4 linked regions of the Schizosaccharomyces pombe genome follow. Changing the gene in region 4 together with the main gene of any one other region gives a genetic interaction. Each region holds a gene or a part of one and is shown on either strand. Other genes may lie near its edges.

Evidence for each region.
Region 1: mutations in snz1 (region 4) and txl1 together harm fitness more than expected from each alone (negative genetic interaction), as found in Schizosaccharomyces pombe (one large-scale study listed by BioGRID).
Region 2: mutations in snz1 (region 4) and mug30 together harm fitness more than expected from each alone (negative genetic interaction), as found in Schizosaccharomyces pombe (one large-scale study listed by BioGRID).
Region 3: mutations in snz1 (region 4) and dap1 together harm fitness more than expected from each alone (negative genetic interaction), as found in Schizosaccharomyces pombe (one large-scale study listed by BioGRID).

The regions. Positions count from the first base shown.
Region 1 is NC_003423.3:765,594-769,011, forward strand, and holds txl1 (thioredoxin-1-like protein Txl1), read right to left. Parts: upstream 1,898-3,418; 5' UTR 1,886-1,897; coding exon 1,662-1,885; intron 1,610-1,661; coding exon 961-1,609; 3' UTR 759-960; downstream 1-758. Other genes in the region: ubiquitin C-terminal hydrolase Ubp10, read left to right, coding at 1-660; DNA repair ERCC8 family protein ckn1, read left to right, coding at 2,189-2,225, 2,276-2,423, 2,487-2,594, 2,675-2,792, 2,841-2,919, 2,964-3,418. UniProt on the Schizosaccharomyces pombe protein: Has a role in cellular detoxification of alkyl hydroperoxide.
Region 2 is NC_003423.3:3,686,514-3,692,528, reverse strand, and holds mug30 (ubiquitin-protein ligase E3), read right to left. Parts: upstream 3,991-6,015; coding exon 3,757-3,990; exon of another isoform or gene 3,713-3,756; coding exon 1,523-3,712; 3' UTR 1,329-1,522; coding exon of another isoform or gene 681-1,328; 3' UTR 680-680; downstream 1-679. Other genes in the region: CLRC complex-Argonaute linker protein Stc1, read left to right, coding at 681-1,328; SPOM_SPBP8B7.26 (uncharacterized protein), read right to left, coding at 4,563-5,266, 5,321-5,405; cyclophilin family peptidyl-prolyl cis-trans isomerase Cyp4, read right to left, coding at 5,930-6,015. UniProt on the Schizosaccharomyces pombe protein: Probable E3 ubiquitin-protein ligase. Has a role in meiosis.
Region 3 is NC_003424.3:4,153,260-4,156,820, reverse strand, and holds dap1 (cytochrome P450 regulator Dap1), read right to left. Parts: upstream 1,362-3,561; 5' UTR 1,349-1,361; coding exon 848-1,348; 3' UTR 501-847; downstream 1-500. Other genes in the region: Clr6 and Rpd3L histone deacetylase complex subunit Sds3, read right to left, coding at 1-282. UniProt on the Schizosaccharomyces pombe protein: Required for sterol biosynthesis. Functions as a positive regulator of cytochrome P450 enzymes erg5 and erg11. Function requires bound heme.
Region 4 is NC_003424.3:5,412,893-5,416,693, reverse strand, and holds snz1 (pyridoxal 5'-phosphate synthase (glutamine hydrolyzing)), read right to left. Parts: upstream 1,757-3,801; 5' UTR 1,509-1,756; coding exon 618-1,508; 3' UTR 501-617; downstream 1-500. Other genes in the region: mtq1 (S-adenosylmethionine-dependent methyltransferase), read left to right, coding at 1-343.

The sequences.
Region 1 (3,418 bases), on a different chromosome or scaffold from region 4:
ACCATAGCAAAACCTACTTCTATTGTACATTACAGCTTTCAAGGATTTGTACGTATTGAATCACAGAAAATTCGCCAACATGCTGAAAAGGGAGAGCAAGTTGTGTTTACTGGTGATAGGGTTATACAAACTAACGTCGTCCCTTTTCTTTACCTTACTCTTGATTTACCTCCGAAACCCATATTCCAAGATGAGTTTGAAGGTAATATCATCCCACAAGTAGAATTAAAAGAGATACTTAACAAATATAATGGGGTACATACCCAAGAACTTGCAGGTATGCGACGGCGTTTTCATTTAATGACGGCTCCTCCATACTTTATATTTCACATCAAAAGATTTATGAAAAACAATTACTTTACGGAAAGAAACCAAACTATAGTGACATTTCCTTTGGATGATTTTGATATGAGCCCATTTATTGATGACTCATTTATCCAGTCAAATCCGAAAATCTCTACGAAATACAACCTCGTTGCTAATATTATACATGAGTCCGTGACACATGCTGAAGAAGAATTTCATAACTTCCGAATTCAAATTCGAAACCCCTCTACCAATAAATGGTATCAAATTCAAGACTTATATGTTGAAGAAATCAGTAGCGATATGATTCGTTTAGGCGAAAGTTTTATTCAGCTTTGGGAAAGGTCATCATAGTGTTAATATGTGGAATTTTTGGATTTCTCACAAAATTTCCTCTACGTGAGACAAAATTAAAAAACATTCATTTTATTTATCAAACGTTACCGCTTAGAAAATCTTTATTCTATATAAATTAGATTATCCATTTATATTCCCATTTCGTGAGTAGTCAGCAATTACAATGCTCAAATGAAAGGTTTGTAGTATTCTTTGGTATCAAGACACCAGATTGGTCGAGTAATGTATACGAAACTAGATTTTCATAAAGGTAAATTCGTAAACCGTCATGATTTTAGTTAACAAATTGTTAAGCACCTAAGCTTCGACCTTTTGTAGTTTTCCTTTACTTGAATCACCAACAGGCTCACCAAATAATTCTAAGCGAGAAATCTTAGTAGTTTCTTCTTCTCCGACATTCGAATAAATAAAAATAACGAGAGAATTGACACGTTGAAATTTAACAAAACGAAGGGGAATAATTGTAGGTTGATCGTCTTGTTCGTAAACTATATCCTCAATGACTTGAGTTGGAGTAAATGACTCAGCATCTTCAAAAGAAAGATTGTTGGGCTGATTGATGTACAATTTGATGGTTTTTGGAGCACTCGAAGTTTCTCCCTTAACAGGAGTAATTGCAATAGAATGAACCTTTACCACTTCAAGAAAAGGTATGTATATCATTAATTGCTCGTCAACATCCGACTCTAAAAATGAGGAAGGATTACTGTTAAATGCACTTTTCAAATCGTGATCATCTTGTTGATTTAGACATTCCAATTGGGGATTTTCAATGCAGCCTTGCAAGCTAGCAAAACCCTTGACAGGTGCCGATGACGAAGAAGCAAGAGCGCCAGTTCCTGTGGCTTTTGAGGAAATCAAAGCAACTTTTTCCTTCAAAGCTTGTGGGTTTGCTCCAGTTAGCATATCAATTTGTTTGCCATTTTCAAAGAAAACAAATGTAGGCCTAAAATGTTAGCAAAACCAATGGTACAGTGACGGATTAGGTAAACACATACATTGCTTTGACGCCAAGCCCGGAGGCAATTTGACGTTGCTCGTCTACATTTACTTTAGCAAAAACGAATTTGGGGCTAGCATATTTCGATGCTAATTGTGAAAATAAGGGAGAAATTGCTTTGCAAGGACCACACCAATCGGCATAGCAATCAACTGCAAGATATCCGGACTTAGGGATCGTTGAGATCCAGTGCTGGTACGATCTAATTTCAATAACTGACATATGGTTGAGGTTGAGTTCTATAAACCGTCTGCCAATACCATCTCGTACACCACGACCGTTATTAGTAGTGCGTCTAGCCAACGTCGAAAAACATATTTTTTTATTATTGTTTCCTGGAAACTACCTTTGAGTTTGCTATTTAAACATAGAAGTTGATTAATTGACAGTATTATTTACCGCTCATATTAAACTAGCTGTAATTTTATTTAGACTTAATTTGTTATACATGGTTTAAAAACCGGGTTGTTTTAAGCTGTCAGTTGCTTACTGTAGCATCTGAGTCTATTTCTTAGGTGAAATCGAATGAATTCTTTTTTATTGGCACGAGAATGGGGCCAAGGTAATGCAATTGATTATGTGATATAAGGATTTCAAGTCTCACATTTGTAGAGCCAAATAGCTCTTTTCGAAGGCAACTACTGCAGCATCGTCTTCAACGGTTAGCGCTGAATCCGGATGTGAAAATTAAACGTAGACACGGTGCGGGCATTTTAGGATCCGTAAATGCACTAAGCATTGATAATACAATTCATCAGCTGTATGACCTATATCGTTGATTTATCAAAGCTTTCAATTTTTGGTTAACAATTTCTATTGACAGCATGGTCTCTGGAGGAGCCAACTCGTCTATCAATGTTTGGGACCTACAAAATATTGACCAAAAGGAAGATGAAGATTTAATTTTGGATACCTTAAATGCAGTTCCTGCGTAAGCATTCATTTTCTACCTAGTTTATGACAATTTCAATATATACACTAGTGATCAATAGCTAACTTGCGGTGTTTTAGTCGAACGAGTCATAAGTTTGGAATAACAGATTTGCATTGGTTTCCGTTTGATAATGGTATTTTTACTAGCTCGTCGTTCGATCATACGCTCAAGGTTTGGGATGTTTCTACTTTACAGGTAATAAAAGTAGAAATCGCAAATTAACCAATGTTCTAATATTGGTAGGAAGCTTACACTTTTACTATGGAGGACATGATTTATTCACATGCATGGTCGCCCATTGCATCACATTGTTTAATTGCCAGTACGTTATATTCTTCATTCTTGAGATTGTTCATCTAACGATAGCCGCCTACCGGTCTTCGTCTATTCGGCTTTGTGATATGCAAAGTGGTAGTTATACTCATAGTTTGTCTGGACACACGGGTAATGTCCTTGCGGTGGATTGGTGTCCTAAGAATGAATTCGTGTTAGCGTCCGGCTCTGCAGATGGCACTTGCAGACTTTGGGACATTCGTAAAGTATCATCCAGCTTCGCATGTATGGATCTACATAATAAGTATTTACCCAGTAACCAGACAAATATATCTCATTACGGCACCGTTAATGGATTAGCTTGGACTTCAGATGCTCGATATTTGGCAAGTTGTGGTACCGACGATCGAATAAGAGTATGGAATATGGAAAGTGGAAGAAACACATTGAGAGAATTTGGACCTATTATTCATAACCAGACTACTTCCTTCGCGGTACATCCTTGCATGATCCAACCCTCTATGGATTCAGATGTTTTTGTGTTATTC
Region 2 (6,015 bases), on a different chromosome or scaffold from region 4:
TACTCAAGAAACATTAATTTTTTAACGATATGATTGAAAAGAGAACTCTGGTATTAAGAGGTTTTAACTTTTACAAAGTAGCAGGAGTAGGAAGTGCGCAAATTAAATTCCAGTTTCCAATTTGTTTAGAAGCTTCTGACATTCTTCGGGATTTTACAAATCATACAATTCCATTTAAGGTAGGAAAAGTGTAGGCTATCTAAAGTTTTATTATTCCGTTTATTTTCAAAGAATAATTCGCAATCAAAAACTTGAAGGCGAGAATAATAGAATGGGAAGCAGTATTTATTTTGAAAACAACCCTTTGAATATGTGCAATTTTCATTGTCAATAGAACATGAAGCAATCAACAAATATATGTATTCTTTTTTGCTTTAATATCATTGATTCACCTATTAATCGAACCGAACGGTAGTAAATTTTATATTAATGCATTTACAGCCTGATCAGCGTAAAGATCTCAATGACAATTGATAGGACGGCTTGTATTACTGTTTTTTTTTTCTAAATCCTGATTAAGCCTGTATGTTTCTTCTATTTGGTTGTCAAGGCTATCACATTTTGTTCATTAAAGGTATTGTCTACTTAATGCTTCTAACGTCAGCAGCTAATTAAAATTATTTCAGTACATATATTCATTTATAAGAGTATTGTTACCATATTAATAATAATAAAAAAATATGGATTTTAAGAGTCGAAAATATAAAATTAAAAAGCATCCGAAGGATTGCAAACTACATGCTAAAAAATACCGGGGTACATTGAATTCAAAAGGGAAAAATGATAATGATTGTTTAATTATGTGTATGAGATGCAGAAAGGTTAAAGGGATAGACTCTTACAGCAAAACTCAATGGAGCAAAACGTTTACATTTGTTCGTGGGAGAACGGTTAGCGTTTCAGACCCAAAAGTGATATGTCGTACCTGCCAGCCCAAACAGCATGATTCAATTTGGTGTACCGCTTGTCAACAAACTAAGGGCATTAATGAATTCTCTAAGGCACAAAGACATGTCCTGGATCCACGATGTCAGATATGTGTACATTCACAAAGGAACGACGGTGATGATAATTTGGAATCTGATAAGTTCGTTGATCCTTTCATAGGTGATGATTCTGACTTAGACGATGATATCTACATTCATGATAAACAAACCATAAACTCAGAATACGCTGACGATGTTTCTGATAATACTGACGAAGAGCGAACTGAAAGCAAGGGGCAACAGGAAAGCAATTCAGCTGAAGAATATGATGATGATGACTCTGATGAAGACAGGATGGAAGAGATATTTCAGCAATTCAAAAAAGAAAAACAAATTGTATAGAGACACGTTTTATATTCATCCTTATTTGAATTATGTAAAGATTTGCTTACGATCCCATTTTATATGATAAATTATAAAGGTCCATTAGTGCTAATGTAGACCTTAAAATATGTTGAATTTAATTTAGATCTTAAATAAATAGATATATGTATATAGTAGTAAAAGGTAAGGAATTGCGAACCCTGATGTAAACACTAGCGTATATTGAACCCATTAGTTTCAAGCAACGCCGTGTCTAATTTTTTTTTTAACTTTTCCCTACTGGAGTATTCCCAAATACATAAGTGATTGAAGCAAGTATGAGAGATAGGAAGTTGATCACTGTCAGGTCCGAGAACTGAGATTCTTAATTGAAAATTATGTGCCCCAGTAGCGGGAATGCGATCGCTTCCTGTGACGAAAATGAGAAAAAGTTTTTGCATTTTTAGCGAATAGTGTGATATCAAATCCCAAAACCAAAGTATTATTTTTCTTTTTGATACGAAAGAGTGGCAGAGATATTTAGATGCAGTCATACTTGGTTCACTTTCAGATATAGAATTTGAAATCGCATTTTGGTCATAAAAATCATAAACGCAGACATTTTTGAGTAGCTCCCAGTCAATAACTTCTTCACTTCCTCTGATCAACTTGCTGATTTCATTGTCTTGAAACAACGATATGGCGTTACCTCCACATACTTTCATAAAGCCATCGAAAAAAGCAGAAAATTGTTTTTTTACAGTAGTATTTAAGAGATAATCTACATACCTCAAAACATATTCTTTTCTGTTCTCATTATCAACACTCAATTCAGAGCCTCCTTCTTTCAACTCAACAGTGCGAAAGCCCTCGACAGCTTTGAGATTAATTGTAAAATTAAGACCGTAAGTATTTTTTACATCTCCTTCAAATAGTAAAAGCTCTTTTAATCCTCGATATAGACTAGGCTGAAAATCATCCAAGTCATTGAAACTTAGAGGTAACTGTAAAAGTTTTTTATAGAAAGCTCTGGGCATCTGTACATCCAAATTTATTGAATTGTGGATTGCAATTCCCATCAATATACCTGACATATGATAGTAATCAATTTCTTTCGACCTGTGTGAATAATTAAACCATAGATAATTTGAAGACTCTTCACAGTTCACAAATAATCCAAACTCAGGGCTAAAAACTTTCCTCGTTAAAAGCAGCAACCATTCTCTCTTTAATCCTCCTGCATCGATTCCTTCTTCACCTAAAAACTCAACTTTTAATGCCTTTCTAAAATCTTTATTTCTGTCATTAATTTGCCTTAGGCTGTCTTCTAACAGTCGATCTCGCCGAACACGAATCATCAAATAAGGTTCAACGTTCATTTTGGAAAGAATTGAAGAGAAAAATGCTTCTCTTGCTTTAATCTCCATTTTTCTCCGAGCATCAAGCTGAAGAATACTAATTTTAGCACCCATTGAAAGAAGAAAAGGATACTGGCAAAAACAAAAGCAATTGATTTTTTGCTCCCATAACTCAAAGTCGTGATAAAGATTTATGAAATCAGCCATTATGCAGTAAAATGAAGATCTGTCTATCAGTCTCATTTGCGAATTAGCAGAGTATAATAAGGCCATAGTAATAGCTGCTGACTTAATTTGCCAGTCATTATTATAGTAGTGCTTCCTTTTGTTTCTACTGTAAGTTTCCATTAATCGTTGACCAATAAACTTGTTTATGAGATCGACTTTTCTTCGAAAAAACTTAGGATTGTTGTAAGGTTGTTTTTTAAAACAAGAAATAAAAAAATGATGTGTCTTCTCGTTCAAGTTAGATAAAACTCCCAAAATCCTCTTCAAAATGCTGCTACTCTTGTTCACTATATTCTTTGATTTTGAGTTCAACAAAGGATTTTCCAAAAGAATGAGAAGATATTGATAATCCGCTGGATCATGACAATATAGCATGGGTCTCCGAAGTAAACTCTCGATAGCTCTTAACAACTCATTTGTTATTAAAATGTCTAAATTTGTAATATCATGGTACAATTGGTAAATGAGCTTATAATTTAGTCCGGAAGATTGGATTGAACAACCATTTTTAACCGAGAACAGTTTATTCAATATCGGTGGACTTCCAAATACTAAGGATATAAGTTCTCGTAATGGTAAGCCTGCAGCCACAATAGCTTGAACGTTGCCAGTTCGCTGCTTAGCAAGTTGCAAGGCACTTCGTGTTTGATGAATTGTTTCAACAAAATGTTCAACTGAGATAAATTGTGATCCATCGGTTGAAGCTTTTGTCTTTATTTGGGAGCCACTTAAACAAAAATAAACATCGTTCACAGTCATACATAATGAACAACGAAAGCACATAGCTTGTGCAGGGTAGCGCAGGACGCTATTACAACAAATGCAGGGCCTGATCACCTATAATTTTGTTAATAAATTAGCCAAACAATTAGCCTAAATACCAATTTCTCTGAATTCCCGTAACTATCATTAGAAATTGTCTCATGAAACGACTGTCGAAGTCGAAGTGGATTTTCACCCATACGTTGACAAACTAACTCTCTTAAGCGACGTGATATTTTTGAATTTGTATTATTGTCAAGTTCTGAGCGGCTAGAAAAACTAGAGCCATGAAGTGCTGGGAGCGTTCTACGGTTTCCAGAAGACACATTGGCTATTTCAATAGGGCGACTCATATAAGCAATTCACCTTCTAAGAAAGATCTATATTTCGCTCTACAGATAAACAATTGGGACTAACCCAAAACAAAAAGACAAATCTGTAAAAGTATGGTACATATCTAGGCCATACTACACTATACATATATTGGTATAGTTATTTCTTAAATATTACGATATTCAACAGGTTCTCATGGCGTAGTCATTCTAACATTCTTTCGTCAAAAGATCATCACAGTTGAACCAATTTTCTAAGATCTTTGAAGGTGAATACTGTTAAAACAGATAAGTTCTTTACTCTTCTTGTATAATATGTATGTCATTAAATGCAGAAGTAAATATTATGACATTTACAAAGAAAATTACCATGTCGACTTCGCAGTACCTTATTTAAGATTTTTGAACGTTCCTACATTGATGATACCTTTCATTTTAAATTGTCAAATTACCTAGTATGTACGACTATTCGTAGGAAAGTTGATTTAAGAAGATTATGATTTAAACATTGAATAACATCTAGTATGCTAAATAGGCCATCCTAGGTAATAATGGTGTAGTAAGAGAAAGAAAATAGAAAGCAAAAATTTGGTTTATAGGTTGGGTCGAGTATTCCTTTGAACCGGAGGTGGAACAGAAGTTGGCGAGCTTACACCGGACGAATTACTAGAAGTTCGGGCAGCAAGTCTTCTTGGCTTTGGAGGTGCAGGTGGAGGTGGTTTCTTAACAGGCGACGCTGTAGAAGCAGCAGTCGCCGCGGGAACAGATCCAGATGCATATGAACTGTTTTGAGAAACCCTTCGGGGAGGAGGAACCGGCAAGGGTGCATTTGCAGAAGCTGTAGGGAGAGGAGAAGAGGCAGTATAATTAGCGTTTGACTGATAAGTTTGGGAATAAGAACCAGAAGAGCTGTAGGAGGGAGGTGGGGGCATCTGAGACATTACATTAGGACGAACAGGAGGTGGTGGGACTTGTTCTTGATTTAAGACGGACGGACGACTCCCTGGTCGACTAGGAAGTGAAGGAGTCCCTCTTGAAGGAAGAGCGGGTTCCTTGGGGGGCTGTGAAGGTTGGGAATAAGAAGGCTGCGAATAAGAGGGTTTCGAATAATCTTGATTTCCTACAGCCGGGCTAGCCGTTCTAGGTGTACTTCCAGTACTACTACCACCGGCACGCAACTGTGAAGCATGTTTTGGAGGAGGAGGCAATTTTGTAACATCGACATATTTTATTGATAAACGAGGCCCGGTTCCATGAACGGATCTAATATCATACATAGCATCTTCGCCATGTTCACCTATAAATCCCATTTTGTTAGTAATGTCTCAAAAAGCAAAGGAAATATGCTTACCTGGTAATTTCGATGTAATCTTATTCTGGAAGCGGTTCGCAGAATCCGACATCGAATGCAGTGATTTTTTTGTTGAGTCAAACATTACGATTAGTTTGAAATTGATTTCTCACAATTGACGCAAAAACCGATTTTACCCAAATGTTTGCGGTGGACAGCTTCCGACTCTCGAAATTCCTTAAGTCCGCTTTTCTAAGAGCCCATAGGGTAAACAACTACACAACGTGCTAGTAATATCAGCCAGCTGATAGGAAAAAATAATGTCTTTGAGTTCTTTTTGATAAAACATAACAAAATAGTAAGCAGCTAATAAGCTTCGCGTTTGTTGTCAATACTTACTATCAGAATTGCAGCATTGCTATTACGCTTGCTAAATTGGATAATATACGTAGAGTTCTATATTCATTCAATTGAAAACTTGTTAAAATCGCATTCTTTATGCGTATATTAGTTATACAACTATGGCTGTCAGAAAATGCAAACAAACTACCACAAGAAGTGATCCTTCCAATGATAAACGTTTATGTTAACAGAATGTAAAATCATTGCTTTTCAAGTAAATCTTATAAACACTAGATGTTGATGACTTTCATAAATAGAAAGTAGGGATTACAATTCATCTGTTCCGTCATCTTCAACATTTTCTTGAGACAACTGCCCAGATTTGATAATTTTTACATCTTCAAGAGGCTTAT
Region 3 (3,561 bases), 1.3 Mb from region 4:
GTACTCCTCCTTGGCTGCTTTCATCTCCACTTCGTATTCCTCTTGTGCCCGATTCACCAAAAACGTTCTCCAACGCTCTGCAATTTCCAATTCCTCATCTCTACTCCTTCTAAGTTCATCTGCCAAATCTAAAAGAGTTTTACAAGTTCCGTTACGAATAGATTCCAATTCAGCTTCCAGTTCTGCTTTTTTGGCTCGGAACTCACTAGCTGTAAGTGGATTGTTCAATAAAGGATCCAGTTCTTCTTTTTCATTGTCAAAGACTCTCGAAAGGACGTCCATGACGCTTTAACTCTTTTACCACCTATTTGTTCGTGACAAAACAATTTTGTCCTTCTTCCAGCTACTGACGAAGGATTTTAAGGGTAAGGGTAAGATTCTCCGAATACGAAATAAAGTTATCTAAACGAGAAAAGTTGTGCTAATAATTATCAGATGAACAACGGTTTACAATAATTCTTCAAAATGGATCATACATCTACTACCATTTATATATGTTACAACAAAATAGAAGACACAGATGGTTATTAAGTTTTCATTGTCAAAAAAAAACATGGAAATGACATACAATGTTTTTTAAAAGATGCTATCGTAACCTTATCAAGGCACCAAAATTACTGCTACAAGGACTTTTTTCAACATTGCTTAAGAGCCTCTATTTCATGCAAGATAATTTTTGAAAGCAATCATGCTTCTAGTAATTTCATAACACATCATCAAATGTACCCAAATACTACAGATTGATCCTTCGGACGCGGAACGTATACCACTTGTCCTAGATTATCCCAAAGAAAAGATCATAAACCCATAAGCATGAAAGAAGTCATAAAAAACAGGTTTGTCGCTATTAATTATGCGCAACTTTTTCTTCGGTTTCTGAAATAGTAGCTGCTGCTCTGGCCTCTCTGGGACTTATCAGCCTGCCAACAGCTTGATATTTTTGGTCAAAAAATGCTTTCCAATCGTTTAGAGCCTGCCTCTCCTCATCGTTTAAATCACTGCAATCATCCAATTCTTCTGCATCTGAATCAGGAATAAATTCATCGTCAAAACTATTTTTTGCTAAACCACGACTGGCATCATGACCGGCAAAAGCACTATAAGGGCCTTGTGGACCATAAAATTTTGATCCCATTGTAACGTTGTACACAGTTCCCTTGATAGCAAGAAAAACCAATGAATTTTTGGAGCCATTATATTCCTTCAGTTCTGCTGGAGTATAATCTCTCCATTCGGGCTGTTTTGGCTCTTCGCTTGCAATAAAAGATTTCTCATTCTTCCTTCTCCAGCGAGTGATTAGCAAATAAAGAAATAAGGTTACTATAAAAACAACTTGTGTAGATGCCATGGTGTTGGTTTATGGAAGAATCAACTGGTCGCATGATTCTCTCAAAACCTTCGCACTACCTGCTTAGAAGAATACGTACGATAGTTTTGTTACCATGGTACATTACTATATACGGACGGTTATAGAGAATATGTTTATTGCAGTCTCGTTTTCTGCACACATAAACTGTTTAAAAGGCACTGTAATAAAGCATAAGTTAAAAATTTTGGTTAGTTATGTAATTATATATCAATGATTATGTTGCTCATATATACGCACAGAATGGAACATAGCATATCTTATTTACTATGACAAGAATCTTACAAAAGGTTACAATACTCTTTATGCATGTATAGTCTGCGTAATGGTGTTTTGATTTATTCAACAAAGCGAGAAATCGTAGTCGCACGACATTTTTTTAGTAAAAAAAACAAAATTTCTCAACAGCATAGTTATCCAGGCATACACGAACAATGTTTAAACAAACTGCTGTTCAGAACTTGTTTCTCGTTTCACAACTATTGGTTCAAAGAGCTGGGTTTAATAGAATATTGAGCCTTCTGGCTCGTGTTCATCATGGTAGCAGCATGAGTCGAACGCATGCCTATATCATTTGAAATAGTATGCTTCCACTCGTACAAAATGCAAACCTTTCAAGACTATGATTAAAAGTGCTTTATATATAACTAGCAATATATCAGTATCATTACGATTTAAATTTATCCTTTTTTTAAACCAACTAGTTTACTTGCTTTGTGTGCTAGATTACCAACTAGTATCTCACTACTCTCCAACATTATTTCCGTTTCAGTAGAATTATCGATTGATATCAAAGTTTTATTTAAATATGGTAAAACAAGTCTTAGTTTATATCATCAAGCTAATCACGTTCATCCTATAAAGCTACCTAGCAACTACATTAATATGTTGTAGCCTACCGACTCACTGCAATTTCACAAAGTTGAAGAATGCAGTAAAGAGTACTAAGATGACTACATGCCAAAAGAGGCAATAGTCTTCGCACAATCATTGGCACTTGCAAACGTGGAAATTTCTTTTGCAAGCAATTTGACTTGTGTGCGTTGGGTAGGCTATAAACTAAGGAAAATGCAACCTTTATTATTTCCATCCGGTACTACGAAGCAGTCACATTAACCTAACCTGAAGCGAATGAACAGAATAAGAAAATTCTGATAATCTAACAGTCGTTATGGGATTAGTTACTAGAATTAAGCATTCGATTTAGCAAACAAGATCCCAACTATTCGGAATCGGCTCTCCTGAAATCCAAGGTCATTTTGCTACCATTAATTCTCTCGGTAAACCATTATGAATCAGAAATAACGCTCATGCTGATGGACTATAGAATATAGCAGCAAGCATTGTTCTACATAATCGAGGGTTTGTTTTTGTTAAAGAAGCTTATGTATTTGACTAGTAGTAGAAAGGAACCTTTTTATCTCCGTTAATAATAATTATTAAAGTAAACAAATACCATTAATCGAGTAAATAAATATACAAAATATACTTGAACGATCGGCTATTTACAGGAGCTGTAAGATTAAATTGAATATAAAATAATATTTCTTATGGAAAAATTGTTCGGCTAGTTTAGTGTAAATATTCACCGAAGGCTTATATACAGTGTCTATATGATGATGGTTGGTAATTTTTCTTGACAATTTGTTGTGTAAGTATGACTTGACTAGCCTAAGAAAATCGTTTGATTTTATTGACCATCTTACATATCCAAGTGTAATGAAATTTGCAGCTGTTGTCAAGCGGTAGATGTGAATGTATCGTAAGACCGGTAATTTTTAAAAAAAAAAAAAAAAAAAAAAAGAAGAAAAACAGGTCAGTCATTATTTCCTCCAATGTACAGTCATACCAAGAAATCATACAAGTGTTGCCCTTCTTCTTTGATGAATTATTTTGCCGAATAAAATCAATAAACACCGATGGTACAAGTAAACAAAGATTCGGCGAGGAAGTGAAGCCGATGAAGAGTGTAATTAAAGGACGGTAGTAGGTGATTGAGGGTTTTTTTATTATTGAAGAATTTTGGTAGTATAGCTTTATTTATTAAGATAAAAAAATTATTAATTCAAATTTAAAAACTTTTTGAAGCTGATAACGTTGTTTACTGTTTTTAGTCTACAAAATTAATCAATGTTTAATAGTATATGTAAACATCATCCACAGTCGTGAATCAAATCTCCAGTATTCTTTCATGA
Region 4 (3,801 bases):
GTTGCTATGCAATCCTCCTTATATATCTGATGATGATTTTGCTGCACAAACCGACATTTCTGTGCGCAAATACGAGCCCAAGCTGGCTCTTTTAGCTAAAAACGGAGGTAATGAGTTTTATTACAAATTTAGTCAGTACATAAAAAGGATGTTACAAAGAAACGCCAAGGATTTTGTACCTTTATCCTTAATAGTTTTTGAAATCGGTAGCACTCATCAAGCTAAAATAGTGAAATCATTATTTGATGATACCAACTGGCAAGCGAATATTGAACAGGATGGCGCACATCAAGATCGAGTGGTAATAATCACCAGAAAAGATAGACGACTCATTGACATTTAAAAAGACTTCATTTGCTAAAACACAAAGAAATTATAACGCACTGAATCAAACATCGTTTTGAATCTGACCTGACTTACAAACATTTACGACTTTAGTCATAAATTCCAGACTAAGCTAACACTTAATACAATGATGAATTCAAAGTTACTAGGAGATTAAATCAAAATGAAACAAAAAAAAACTTTTTATTTAGTGAGTAAAAATAATATCAACAGATAAAATTAAACATTAAATGACATCTGCATTACGGAGAATATAAATCCTTCTCTAATATTTACCACCCGCGAGTAGCCAATTTTTCCTTCTCCTCCAAAGAGCTAACGCTGCGACCAACCATGGCGGCGCCCAAGTTCTCACTAACTTCAGCTAAAATCTTAGGATCGTTATAGTGAGTAACGGCACGAACAATGGCACGAGCACGCTTGGCCGGGTCACCAGACAAGAAGATGCCAGATCCTACAAAAACACCATCACAGCCAAGTTGCATCATGAGAGCAGCATCAGCAGGAGTGGCAACACCACCAGCAGCAAAGTTGACAACAGGCAAACGGCCTAATTGAGCACACTCCTTAACCAAATCAATGGGGGCGGCAATCTCCTTGGCATAGGTGTACAACTCATCGGGAGACATAGACTTCACACGACGAAGTTCACCTTGCATTTGGCGAGTGTGGCGGACAGCCTCCACAACATCACCAGTACCGGCCTCACCCTTGGTACGAATCATGGCAGCACCCTCGGAAATACGGCGCAGAGCTTCACCCAAGTTACGGCTGCCACAAACAAATGGAACAGTGAACTTGGATTTCTCGATATGGTTGATATCATCAGCAGGCGTTAAAACTTCAGACTCATCAATATAGTCAACACCAATGCTTTCCAAAATTTGAGCCTCGACGAAGTGTCCAATACGAACCTTAGCCATGACAGGAATTGAGACAGCAGCTTGAATTTCCTTGATCATAGAGGGATCGGACATACGAGCAACACCGCCCTGAGCACGAATATCGGCAGGAACACGCTCCAATGCCATGACAGCGCAAGCACCAGCAGCTTCAGCAATACGAGCTTGCTCTGCATTCACGACATCCATGATAACGCCACCCTTGAGCATTTGAGCAAGACCAGCCTTGACTTGAGTAGATCCCTTAATTTCGGCAGACATGATTAAGTAGATGCGATTAATTAAAATTTACTTTTTCCAAGCAAACAATAGGATGTATAAAGTGGTAAAACGAAAATGCAACAATGATTTTTCTATAGATATAATGGTCTTTGCCTTTAGACAAATGAGATACAAGGATCCTTTAAAGAAAACACCTAAAAATCAAAAAAATGAACCTTTCGAAACTCAGAACCTGACCAAGTTTTTATGTCAACACACAAAATGTGACTGTGATGATGGAAGAAATTAATCGAATAGCAAACAACACTCGCCTTATATACATTTTCATGCTTACCAAGATGTAATATAACGAAGCGTAGCATACACTACTTTAGGAAGTAAATGTCCGAAACCATTTGATTGATCCCGATAAGTATACAGTGGAGGCGCGTAGAAGATGTAAGCAACTTACAATTGATGTTGAAGCGATTTACAAAGAGGCGGATGTCTTTCTTTATCTAAACGACCTGCTAAACCTAACGTCAAATTGTTATGCTTGGAGGGAAAGCACAAAAACTGTTTCTCTCCTAAAGTCGACTTTAATAAAAGAATCCTCCTATTTATTTACATGCTGCAATTATCCGACAATTCATACTTTTGAGATGCTTCGTCATACTTTTAAAACGTACAAAACAATAAAGAATTACTAAATGAAATTGCTCATCATATATCCGGCGTATAAGTCATGTCTTTACTACCTTTATGGAAAGTTGCATACATTTTTTAGCGATCAATGGTAACAGGCGTGAACCGATTGCATCGGAAATATGGATATAAGCGTTCTACCAGATAATTTCTTGGTATGTTACCGATCAGCGTCTGCAATGTCCGTAATTTTTTGATGGATTAGGATACTGACTACCGACACCCAATATTCTTTATCTTATTTTGTGGGGACTGAGGTATCCAAGTCGCCGAAGAATGATCGATGTATCCATCTTGCGAGATATTTGCATGTCCATGGAAATAGATTTTATCAATACTAATTAAGAAGCCGCAAGTAGAGCCTTTCCTAACAAGGGCTTTATGCATCGCTTTATATACGCTGCTTCAATTGTCATTAGATTTTTGTTATGCAGTAATGTTTAACATTGTTTACCTTGAAACAAGATCGTTGAACTGGAAATGTAGTAATACTTCAAGGACTCCTCGTGTCCTGTTTGTTGTTTAATATAAACATACCAGGAATTGATTGGTATAACAATAACTGACTAGTAAAAAAAATCTGAAAAGAAACACATATTATTTATAACACTGCAATGTACCTAAAAACTGAAATACTCGTTTTCCACTGCTGTCTTATAGACTCATTTGAAAGGGTTTCAGCGTTTTTGTATGCAGTCATCCTCCCTATGAAACTAGTTGGCCATAAAGCGGTAGTAATTACTTTTGTTTTTCAAGCTAATAGCGGATGAGTAGAAGTACCAAAAAATTTACAACAAACTTTATCAAAATAACATCCTAGTTGTAAATTTTATGTGTAGATTAATTGATTTTATGGTATCTTTTGTTTTTAAATAAATTATTCCATTTTTCCCTCTCAAATTATTATTTTTTTTTTAAATATGACTGTTTTTTGCCATATTCGCTGTTTAGTTTGCACTTTTTTAGTTAGCTGAGTAACGTTATTACTGTCTCTTTGTAATCTATAAATATAAGCATTTTATTACATCTTTTCAAAAAAAAAATAATAATAATAATAATAATAAAATTTTATTACTGAAACAGCGTAGAATTCCGTGGCATGTTGGGTAATACTTTTCACATGCCGTAGAGAAAATATCAAAAATTGTTTCCTTTTACGTTACAACCCCTACCAACGCCCTAACATCATAAAAGAAAAAGATTTAAAGTAGAAATAACAAGTTACAAAAGTCGCCCGCAACAGGTTACTTTGGTCGATCTACATGTACACCAAAAAAGTGACATTTACTGAGGAAATACGAGGAATGAGTCTTTCAAAAAATTATGTACGTATTAGAAAAAAATTACTATTCAGATATTCAACGACAACAAAGTAATCCATTATAAGTTGGTCAAGCAGAAAACGATAAGCAAATAAGATAAAATAAAAAAAGATATGACTAGATCATTCATAGATGTAAAGAGTTTAATTAACAAGGAGAGACAAATGCCCAAAAGAAGAGGGGGTTTAATTAGTAGAAAATCACTTAGCCGTCACTCACAAAACCAATAATAAAATGTATTAATGGTATAGGGAATCAACAAAGTCAAAGACTAATGAACGAAGGAATAATTGGAACTATGAGGATTGGTGTCAAATTATCCTTAA